Rattus norvegicus: one gene and its partners. The protein of the gene in region 3 interacts with the protein of the main gene of each other region in a pairwise test. Links are inferred from orthologs where the notes say so. Each region holds a gene or a part of one and is shown on either strand. Other genes may lie near its edges.

Region 1 (3,746 bases), on a different chromosome or scaffold from region 3:
TTCCCAACAACCACATGGTGGCTCACAACCATCTGTAATGAGATTTGATGCCCTCTTCTGGTGTGGCTGAGACAGCTACAGTGTACTTATATATAAAATAAATAAACCTTAAAAAATATTCTTTTGTTTCAAAATTAAACTGCTAGCTTACATGAAAAATCTGGTGATTCAGAACTGGCTATTTACCAGAAAGTAAACCACAAAGTGTTAATAATAGCCATCAATATATGCTATTAAAGTCTGCATTATCCAAATTGACATATCTAGAATGTAAAAAACTCAGACCAAAGAACAGGGACTATTACGCAGGGACTGAAACTTAAAGAGCACATACATGTTAACACAACAAAATGGCATCCTTACAAAGCAACAGTTTTCTGCACTTCACTCTGAAATCTGTCTGATTGCTTCTGACCCCTAACATCTGAATCTATCAACCATGATTTTACTCAGATAATCTCGTTTGTTTTAGAAAAACAGGTAGGTTAAGTTTTACACAGCAGGGAACAAAAGTTCTAGGTTCCTTTGGTTTGATGTGATGAAGAAATGAAGGCTAGAAGGGAAAGTCTTTTTCTTCTCCTATGAAACCTTGCATGCTTGCCTTTCAAAAGGCAAGATACAGAGCAAGCTTATTAGCTACTAGCTGCCTCTTATAAAGGTGGCATGTAAAGGGCAAACCCAGCAGCTACTTTCTACCAGCCTTTACCTATCGATGTGCAGTCACAGAAGTAACTGTTTGCTGCATTAATATCTGGCACTCCACAGTATGCTATTTAAATTTTAGAAACTTGCTTTATTGAATAAGAGATCTGTGCAATGACCCAAGCTTTAAAAGTGCTCCCTCTAATAAGGGTGAATCTCATAGCAGTTAACATCCCTGCTGGGACTGGATATTCAAAACCTGGAAAACCTTCCTTAACCATTCACACCAGAAATGCTTTCGTTTTATTTCCACACACCGGACTTAAGTGAGGCAACAAACAGAAAAGAAAAAATTAATGAAATTTCACCAGGACACTGTATTCTTTAAATTATCTGTGAACTTTTCATTTAGTGAATTCTCCCTACACACACACACACACACACACACACACACACACACACACACCCCTTTAGCAAGGAAAGGCTAAATATATTCTTACCGGAGTCGGGGGAATACTAGCATTTCTATGGTAAAAGTCCCCATGCCTTCTATCACATGAAACCCCCAAAGTGACCGATCGCCCTTAAAAGAACTTACACATCTCAGGACCACACTCCTGGCACAAGTAAATAGATCTTTTCGGTCTTGTGCAAGCCTACGCGACTGTACCAAGTTTTTGGAACCCACACCCTGGGAAGTTACTCACCCCCGAGAAAGCTCTGAAACAGGTGTGAAGAAGCCTGGGGCTCATCTCACAAGCTCTCCACCCCACAGGTTTCTCGCCATCGAGAGGACCACACAAAAGGGTCGCTCCCGCCGCCCTATTCCCTCACTGCTACCGGTGCACGACTCACGACTCACCAGGACCGTGGTGCAGATGGACCTCAGCTCAGACTCCACTTTCTCCCGATAGTCCTTGATCAGCTGCAACTTCTTGTCCGAGGTATCGGTCTTCTGCTCAATGCTCGAGATGACCCTCCAGGCGGACCTGCGGCCCCCGACCACGTTCTTGTAGGCCACAGATAGCAGGTTGCGCTCCTCGTTGGACAGCTCGGCGCCCTGCTCCGTCACGGCTTTCATGCAGGTGGCCATGTCGTCGTAGCGCTCGGCCTGCTCGGCCAGCTTGGCCTTCTGGATCAGCTCGGTCTTCTCCATGGCGAGCGAGGGCGAGCGCCGAGCCGGATCCGGAGTCCTCCTGAGAGCCGCGAGGGGCGGGGCGGGGCGGCGCCGGAGAGGACAAAAAGGAGCGAGGGGAGAGCACGTCAGACAATGAAGCCGGACGCCCGCTTTGTCTCAGCGCACGAGGCTGCGTCCTCGGGCCTCTCGCGGGGCCGCCGCCTTCCGCCCGCGCCCTCCCGCCCGCCCGCCGCGCCTCCCGAGGCCGGAGCACGGGCCCCGCCCGGCCCAAGATGGAAGCGGCCGTTGGAGCCGCACCTTCCCGTCCCAGCCCGACCCTAAGGCGCGCGGTAGCCCAGCAGTCCCGAGGACTGAGCTCCGCCAACCCCCGCCCCGGTCCCACGCGGCGGCGGCTGCAGCGGCAGGCCCAGAGCCGTGCCCAAACTCACCTTCTAGTCTCCGCGGCCGCGACGCGAGTCCCACCACTTTGATCTGCTTTGGGCTTTAGCCGAGGACCCTCCCGTCTCAGCCTAGCGCGGAGCCGACGAGCTCGCTACCGACCAATAGAACACTGCACCTCCCTAGGGAGTCCCGCCTCCAGCTTCTCCAATGGCCAATAAAGAGCGAGCGCGCGGAAGGGGGCCCAGGGGGCGGGGCGGGAAGCGAAGCGGAGGCTCGGAGGGTGGGTCGGCTCGGGTAGGTTCGGTTGGCCCGCAGGCTGCGGCTTCGGCCACGGGGTTTCCTCCAATTAGATCCAGGGTGAATGGACGTCACTGTTGCCATGGCGATGATTTTACCAACTCCCCTCATCCTCCCCGCCAGCCCGGCACTCCTGGGTGCGGCACGGGACCGGAGGTGCGTTCGACCTCCGAGGCAGTGGCCGCGTGTCCTGCAGCAGCGGCCTCTGCAGATGGGGCGTTGCAGCTCTTAGGCTGCTGCGGCTGCAGCTGGACTACGCAGGGGTGAGATAATTGGCCGTTTGTTGCACAAGCGCCTTTCTTCCACCTTCCTATTTTTGACCAAGGTTTGGATCCTCAAGACGTTAAAGTGCAACCCTTATAAATTTCCTGTTTCGACTACAATCAGAAATATCCCGATCCCCATTAAAAAAAAGAATTCGTTCCCAGAGAAAGTGTCTTAGTTCAAGTTTTCACACAGGCACCCGAAAGCCAGGAATTTCCTTATGGAAAGGTAGATTCAGGAGATCTGGGCGGGTCCGCGTGGCAGCGTCAGGTAAGCTTTTCTTTAAAACGGGAAATGACATTAAGCACGGTTTGGACAAACATTTCTTTCTTTTCCACGTTAATGTCTAAGTACACCCCGCCCCCAACACACCTTTGTACTCTGTAAAGCATGTATACATGCTTTAGGTTTTTGTGTGTGGTGGTTTGGGGGGTTTTTTGGGGGGAGGGGTGCTTTTAGGTTTGTTTTTTTTCCCCTCATATTTTTGTGAAGATCCTTGTAAAGCCAAAATTCTCACGTGCTGACTTTCTCCGCACGATAAACACCCTTCTGAAATGAGAACACTTGCCCCAGATGCTATGTATTCAGGGTCACAGCTAACATTTTTCTCCTTTAATCCGCTCCCTTATCTCCGGGCCCTACAATCCAAGTCCAAGTGAGGTGGCTGTCCTACCAGATTTGAAATTGCCACCCGGCTCTGCTGAGATTCCAATTCAAGGGTTCAAAGAACTTCAGTGACTGCCAAGGGCAAAGTGGATTCAAATGCATGGTGGAACCAAGCGGACCTGGAGAGTCCATAGAGTCCATAGAACGGAAGGTCTAACAGTAAACACAGATGGCAAGGAGGGAAAGGGACGAAGCTTCCAGAAATTCAGATTCCTTTCCAGCTGCCCCTCCCTACCCAACTTGTAAAGGTTGCTTTGTGCTTTGACCAGGAGAATCCTGGTTGGAAAGTGACTCTGTCTTAATACAAAAATGCCTTACTATGCCCCAGTGCAGCGGCGGACGACCCAGTGTTATTTCT
Region 2 (3,646 bases), on a different chromosome or scaffold from region 3:
TAATGGCGACGTAAAGCCCTTATGACAACCACTCCCAGCTCCTGCCTACAGAGCGCTACTCCCCAGACGCAAGCTTCACCCAGAAGGCCCTTCCTGAGGGTCTACCCACTTATTCCAGTCTGGGTACTTCACCCACCACCAACATATACCCAGTGGCAGGTCAAAAGTGTTAATTGGGCTTCCACTTGGGGCCTGCAGTCCTTCTGAGGTCATGAAGCCAACCTTGGAGAACATCCTGGCCCCTCTGGAAAACCCAACTCCACTGCCAAGACAGTGGTGGACCACATGAACCTGAGGACACATTTAAGGCAATACAGAGAAAGATTATGTCCACCTGTCACTGGTGGCTTAAAGCCCTGCCAGCCAACACACTACATAAGGCAGAGAGTCCATGGCCTGTACAGGAGGGTTCTATGCCACCCAGAAAGCTACCTCTACTCTCGTGTGGAGTCAAAGAACAGCCTGTAGGCCTGGGTCCCCAGCACCAGCACACACGGCCACACCTACCCTCTGAGTAGCGTGATTCAGCATTTCCTGCCAAGCAGAGTCAAACTGGCGCTTGTCATCCTCCAGCAGCCGCTGCTCGGCCAGGGAGATTGTCTCCTTGGCTGCACGGAGCACCTCAGTGGCCCTCTGGAAGTCCTGTGTGGCTTTCTGCGCTTCTAGCTGAGCCTGTTGAGAGAGAAGGTCTTGTAAGGCCTGAGGTGAAGCCCGGGGGTCCCTGGGTCCATCCCCCACCCCCAGAGATGAGTGGCCCAGGATTTGATCCACCTCTGCCTCCCTCTTGGAGGCTGCACAGGGAAGTCCCTCACGCACAGGATGGGGTTACAGGAGGCCGATGGCTGAGTGAATACCAGGTTGGTGAGCAGACAGCCTCCATAGTCTGGAGCTCGACAGACCTTGCATCTGTGCTGCCAATGGCTAATGAGGCCTTTCTCTGATGCCCTGGCTTAGGAATGAAGCCCAGGTGGGCATAGCAGTCCTGGGAATCTTCCCTGCACGTCACAGCCCAGAGTGCTCCAGAGACCACAGTTATAGGCCCCATTCTGCAGATGAGGCCTAGCAGCTGGAAACAGCTTTTCCTGAGACTGCAGAGCTGGTCAGAAACAAGGCTCCAGGCCAGGCAAACACCCCAGTACACGACTGCCAGCCTAGCAGCCCACTGCCAGGCAGCCCTCTCAGCCCACACTGACACCCAGGCCCAGGCCTACCAAGAGCACACGTCCTGCTTTCAGAAGGAAGGGAAACGCACACAGCAGCTGTGCTCCTATCTACGGCAGACAGCGTATGCCGGGCCTGTGTATGTCCGTGGACATGTACGTACAAGGACGTGTATGTCCGTGGACGTGTGTACATGGAGAAACCTAACGTTAACACTGAAGACCACTCCTCGGGAGCCTTGTTTTCTGTGACAAGGCTTCTCACTGGCAGGAAGTCCCCTGTGAGGCTAGGCTGCTGCCTGTGAGCCCTGGGATCCACCCACCTCTCGGTTGCTGGGGTTACTGCTGGGCCTGGCTTTCTTACGCAGGTCCTGTGGATTGGGAACTCGGTCCAGATGCTTGCACTGCCAGCACTTTAAAAAGTCTCAGGCCAACATGTAACCCCAGAGCATCTAAATGTGATTAACGAAAAATGTAAACATCCCTTACAGCCTAGACAGAGCTCAGGAGTTGAGGTGCTTGCCACACATGCGAGAGGACCGGAGGCTCAGATCTCCAAAGCTCACAAACGCCTGGAGGTGTGGCAGCTGCCCCAGCTCAGAAAATGAGGACGGCGGTTCTTGAAGCAAGCTGGTTAGAAAGACTAGCTGAAGAGTTCCGGGCTCAAAAACTGAAGCGGACCATTGATTGAGGAAGATTCTTGATTCCCACTCACCCACAAGCACATGTGCACACATAGCCATGAGTACATACATGCTCACATGTATGCCACATGTGAGTATACATACATGCACCACACACGTGCGTGCGCACACACACCAAAAGAATATCCACCTCATTTTAAAATCTCAGTAGAAAAATGTTGGTTATCCCATTGCCATTTTTCAGATGGATGAGATGTGAGATATACTAAACTAAGATAAACTGAAATCAATCTCATCTGTTTGTTTCCTCGTAGGTGACTCTCTACTACTTTAGGGCTGTTGGTGTTCCCCCCTCAAGAGTGGGCTGAGTGATGTGACTGCATCATATGCAGGGCTGGGAAGATGACACCTCCCAGGTAAAGTGCTTGCTATGCACTTGTGAGGACCTAAGTCTAAGTCCCCAGAGTCCACACAGAGCCGACCCGATTAGCATGCCTCTGAAACCTGGTGCTCCAGGGCGGGAGGGAGATGGCGGAGACAGCGGAATCCCCCAGATGCCCACAGACCAGGGCGGCTAGTGTGGTGAATGCAGAAACATAGCCACATCCTATCTCAAACAAGGTAGTCAGTGAGGACCCACACCTGAGGCAGTCCTCTGATGTCCACACATGCTCTGTAGCACGCTCCCCTAAAAGCAGTCAGTGGGGCCACACTGCTGACCTCTCTTCTCGGGCTCACATCCAATTTCCTGTCTGGCCAGGGGCGGGGCATGGCTACATGCTAATCAGCCCCAGTACCACTCCCTGAGTCCAATTATGAAAACCCTGGTGGGACACCCACAGGACAGCCCCTGGGACTTAAGAGGGGAACAAGTGGGCCCCACCCTTCCCCAGAGAAAGTCTCACATGACTCAGAGGAAGTCTTCACGTAGACTGTGGGTACTTTGCAAAGAAAATTAAGGGGAAAAGAAACGAAGAAGCTGAGAACACCACAGCCCTGGGGGAAGAAACAGCCCGGTAACCCACGGTAACCCGAGACGGGCATCCGCTACTCTGGTCTGTGCACAGCCACAGTCCCAGCCCTCCAGCCCACAGAGATCCACTCAGGGGACTGCGCCCCACATGTAGCTGATGTGCAGAAAGCTATGTGCAAGGCTATGTGCAGGGCAGGAGAATTGGACTTGCTTCACATAAGAGGAAACCCAGCAAAGTTTTCCTAAAGAGAGACCTGAAGGGCAGGCAGGAGCTGCAACTCAGGATGATGGAGGGAGGTCAAGGGGAGCGCCTGAGGTCAGACTCCAAAGATGGACCATGAGACAGGGTCTGTAGGAAATCTGATAATGACTGGAAAGGAGCATTTAAAAAAGCCAGCCTGGGCTATACAGCAAAATCGTGCCTCAATAATAATAATAATAATAATAATAATAATAATAATAATAATAATAAAAATAAAACAGCCTCAATGAATGCCCCCTACCAGCCATCTACATCCACTGAGGTAGCAGGAACCACACATAGGGATGGGGATGCCCACCCTCTCTAGAACCGATCAGCCACTGAGAAGTAACTGTCTGGCACTGACAACCCGACTCTCTCTCCAGCTGAGCCCCCTGCCCATTCTTACTTCTGCCACAAGAACAGTCTGGGGCCTCCATCTTTCCAGACGGGTCCAAGAAGAGTAAATCTGGACAGGTTTAAGGGAGATGAATTGTGATCCATCCCTCCAACCTCAGTCTACCTGCGGCTTCTCCACAGCTCTGAGACACGGGCTCATCCCCTGGGACCCTAACATTTTCTAAAACGCGATCTCTCTGTCCCTTCTTTCATTTGCTATCTATCTATC
Region 3 (3,746 bases):
GGTCAAAGAGCCAGCTCCCTCATCACAGTGGGGATCCGGATCACACTGCTTTCCCCTGGACTGACTGGTACATACATACCATCTGGCTTTGCACTGCTTTGCCGATTTCCTATGCAGCAATGAGGCAATCCTAGACCACTGGTTTTTCCCATATTTCATTACCGCTGCTTTAAGAATTTCATCCTAGAGAGTTACCAAAGAGAATGCATTCAGTCACAAGCCTCTAAATGAGAAAAGACAAAACTTAAGTTAGTCCCCGCAGAGGTCCTGTAGAGAGAGGCACACGATCGTTAAAAAAATAAAAAAGGCATGGAAACTTTATTATTCAGTGGTTAAGAACATGTACTGCTCTTTGCAGAAAATGTGAGTTCAATTCCCAGCACCCTTATCAGGCATCCTGCCTATAACTCCAGCTACAAGGGGATTCAAAGTCTCTAGCCACTGAAGGCACCTGTACTCATGCACAGACACATAATTTTTAAAGTAAAATATATCTTTAAAAAAAAAGAGAGAAAGGACATCTTACCTGCCCCTCAACAAACTGGAGGTGGGAAAAGTCAATGCTGAAAACACTACTTTATGACAGACAAAATTATTCACCCATATGTACCTGCCATTCTCTTCAAAGATAGAGTTCATATTTATATTTACTCAAAACAAAAATAACAACTGCAACAAAAACAAAAACAAAAAAAGCAAAGCTTCCTGAATATCTACCTTGAACCAGGTCTCATTATATACTCCAGGAAAGAGAATCAAAGAAGCAACTTGAGACTCTGGTTCAACACATTTCCTCTCCATCATCCTACTAACCACAACAGCTCAGGATCCACATTTCCCTCTACCTCATCAGTCAGCACCATCTACTCCAATCTCCAAAAACTACTTCACCGGGGTACCCATAGCATAACCCAATCCCCAGACAACCTGCCAAGCAAACTCACAAACATGAAAGTCGTAGATCTTTCTTGAGCACTTTACTTTTAGGCTTTTTCCACAATGAACTTGCATTGCCTGCCTTATACTTAAGCCCCTCCACTCCATCTTCTCTCCCATTACTAATTGGTAGAGTCCCCACCTAGTATACATGAAGTCCTGGGTTAGATTCCCATAAGACTTTGCATGGCAGTACACACCTGTAATCCCAGCCCTGGAGAGGTAGAGGCAGGAGGGTCACAAATTACCAGTCACTCTCATCTACATAAGAAGCTCAAAGCCAATCTGAGCTACATGAGACCCTATCTCAAACACACACACACACCCCTCTGCAGGGTTTTGACCACTGCTGTAACTTAAATTTTTGTGATTCTACTTCTTCCTCAGAAATCACCTCTTCCAAGTTTAAATAGCCTGGGTGCATGCAAGACCCTTTTTAGTACCTCCATTTGTAAAGTTTTTCAGCACATCTTCAACCAAATACATGTGGCAGGTCCCTATCCTACAAGATTCATTCCCAAACACCACCAAGCAGCCTGCTTCATACTAGCAGACCAAAGCCTGGTCCTTCTGCACTGCTGTCTGATGAGGACAACAGCAATTCAACTTTACTGAAAGCCTACTAATGTGCCCAGCTGTGTTTGAAATATTCCAAACTGCCAACTCATTTCAAGAGCTCAAACACTATTATGTGTCTTATAAAAATGAGTAAACTGAGGCTCTGAGAAGTTAAACTCCGCCAGAACCACACAGAAGTGCCTGCGACAACAAAATGAGCTGTAGCGAATGAAAAATAGGTGCCACAAACCCACTAAACAACCAACTCTCAACGGGACGGCTTATGGGCAAGGACTCCAAGAAGTGTTCTCAGCTAAGTTTGGAGGAGACTCAGAAAGATGCCAAGCAATAAGAAGCTATCTCAAGAAGGTACGAGACGTAAAGGTACTCCTACATTCAGCGCATCCGATTAAATACACGTTCATTTCATTTCTTTTATTTCCTTTCTTCTCCCGTTCCGCTCACCGTGACATTATCTACTACATTTCTGGAAGCAAACACCACCCTATACTGGCTTCTATCCCAGCAAGGGTGGCGTGACTGGAAGGTAAGAGAAAGGACCTTGGGAATCTGCAGAACGGACAGACTATGCCCGGGGACCAGATAAGCAGAGAGGTGCAGACGTAAACGCGCCGCCTGCCCCCGCTAAGTAAGTCACTGAAAAACAAAGTTGCGGTCACAGCGCTTCGCTCTGCTAGAACTGACAAAGGAAGGAGCTGGAGAAAAACTAGGCTTCCGCGGGGGTCCCGTCGGAGCCGCCACAGGGTTGCAGGGGAGAGGAGGGGGCGCGTCCCTAACTGAACAAATAAGTGTTCAAGGGCCTAGCAGATGCCAGGCGGGGAGCGCCGACCGACAAGTCGTGACCTCGTTCCCGAGGTTGAGCCAGGTGACCCGCATCCGCACCCACGCATGGCAAGGGTCTCCCGGGTCCGCAGAGTCGCGGCCCCCCACGCAGACCCCCGCGGGACAGCCAAGGCTCCCGGAGCTGTCCGCGCGTGCGCACTCGCTACCGGACCCGGCGGAGGGCTGCGGACGGCGGGAAAAGCTGCCTCACCTCCGTATTCCTCCACACGCCCCCTTTGATCATAATCCGGGGCATCTTGGCGGCGGAGTGTCCCGGCAAGCGGCCGAGTGGAGCTTCGAGAAAGTAGTAACGGCGCTTCGGTCACGGGACGCAAAGAGGCCACTTCCTCCAAGAGCGACCTTCTGCTTTGATGAGATCTGCGCAGGCGCGGCGTGAGCAGCCCCCGGTAAATCTCGCGAGATCTTAGAGGCCGAAGGCGAAAGACGCGGCCTATTTTGGAACCTTAACACTGACGGAAAATTATCAAACCGTAGAGGCCAAAGCGCCCGACGTCGCGCGCAGGTCCCAGACAGGTTGGAGGAAAACAAAACTCTCGCGAGATGCCAGAGGTGGAACTTGGCCGGCAACGCGTGAAGGGATTGGTCCCGAAGTCACGGGGGGGCGGTACAGGGGGAGGGGGGTAGGGAAGTCAGGGGTGTGGCGTTCCGCACCACGCTAGATCGGATGGGAGCTTTGTTAGTTTATTTAACGGAGCGCCCCGCTGGCATCTAAGCGACAAGAACTTCGCGGAGGCCTCAGGGAGATGCAATAGGGTGAGTCTGTTCTCTTCTGGGAACTACAACCCGCAGTGCCAAGTGCCGAGGATGCTGAACAGATTCAAGGTCCTAACTGTACCCTGAGAGACGCGACTGCTCTCCCGAAGTGTTCTTTATCCTTCCTAGAAGAGCCGCGCAAACTTCACCTCAGCCCCCGAGGAGTTCACGAAGGTGCGCCCTAGGAGCCCTCAAAGTGTCGCGCTCGCGGGTTTCACTCATACCTCACTGGTGGGTCTCTGTGGAACAAACTCGGCGGGTTGAGGGAGACTTGCCCCTGGGATCCTGCGGCGGCGTCATCTGAAGAGTGGAACTAAGGGCGAACTCTTGTTCATAAAATCGGAGGACAGCTGCGACTTCATAAACACTCGGTGAGGTGGAACCTGTCAAACTCTCCGCTATCTCCTCTCCCTCTCTCCCACGCAGACTATTCACTATTCCAGAGCAATTACTTGGTGCCACCCCAGGTCCCTAGGGAAAGATTTTATTCCATGCATAGCGGCTCTGCAGTGGTTCATTGCCATTGTCTGTGCTTCTCTTTGCCTCTTCTCGAAGACATGACGAATTTTCCGATTCGATTTTTGTTATTATTTTTCTCTTGAAATAGGAAATTGCACCAAAATATCACGGCTTTC

Evidence for each region.
Region 1: the proteins of Cdc5l (region 3) and Ywhaq interact in a two-hybrid assay, tested with the Homo sapiens proteins (2 studies listed by BioGRID and IntAct). The link is inferred for Rattus norvegicus from reciprocal best matches to the Homo sapiens genes CDC5L and YWHAQ.
Region 2: the proteins of Cdc5l (region 3) and Sh3bp5 interact in a two-hybrid assay, tested with the Homo sapiens proteins (2 studies listed by BioGRID and IntAct). The link is inferred for Rattus norvegicus from reciprocal best matches to the Homo sapiens genes CDC5L and SH3BP5.

The regions. Positions count from the first base shown.
Region 1 is NC_086024.1:46,692,623-46,696,368, forward strand, and holds the start of Ywhaq (14-3-3 protein theta), read right to left. Parts: upstream 2,254-3,746; 5' UTR 2,209-2,253; intron 1,839-2,208; 5' UTR 1,799-1,838; coding exon 1,505-1,798; intron 1-1,504. UniProt on the Homo sapiens protein: Adapter protein implicated in the regulation of a large spectrum of both general and specialized signaling pathways. Binds to a large number of partners, usually by recognition of a phosphoserine or phosphothreonine motif.
Region 2 is NC_086034.1:6,602,612-6,606,257, forward strand, and holds part of Sh3bp5 (SH3 domain-binding protein 5), read right to left. Parts: intron 1,480-3,646; exon of another isoform or gene 1,212-1,479; intron 673-1,211; coding exon 508-672; intron 1-507. UniProt on the Homo sapiens protein: Functions as a guanine nucleotide exchange factor (GEF) with specificity for RAB11A and RAB25. Inhibits the auto- and transphosphorylation activity of BTK. Plays a negative regulatory role in BTK-related cytoplasmic signaling in B-cells.
Region 3 is NC_086027.1:23,061,349-23,065,094, reverse strand, and holds the start of Cdc5l (cell division cycle 5-like protein), read right to left. Parts: upstream 2,699-3,746; 5' UTR 2,594-2,698; coding exon 2,549-2,593; intron 184-2,548; coding exon 80-183; intron 1-79.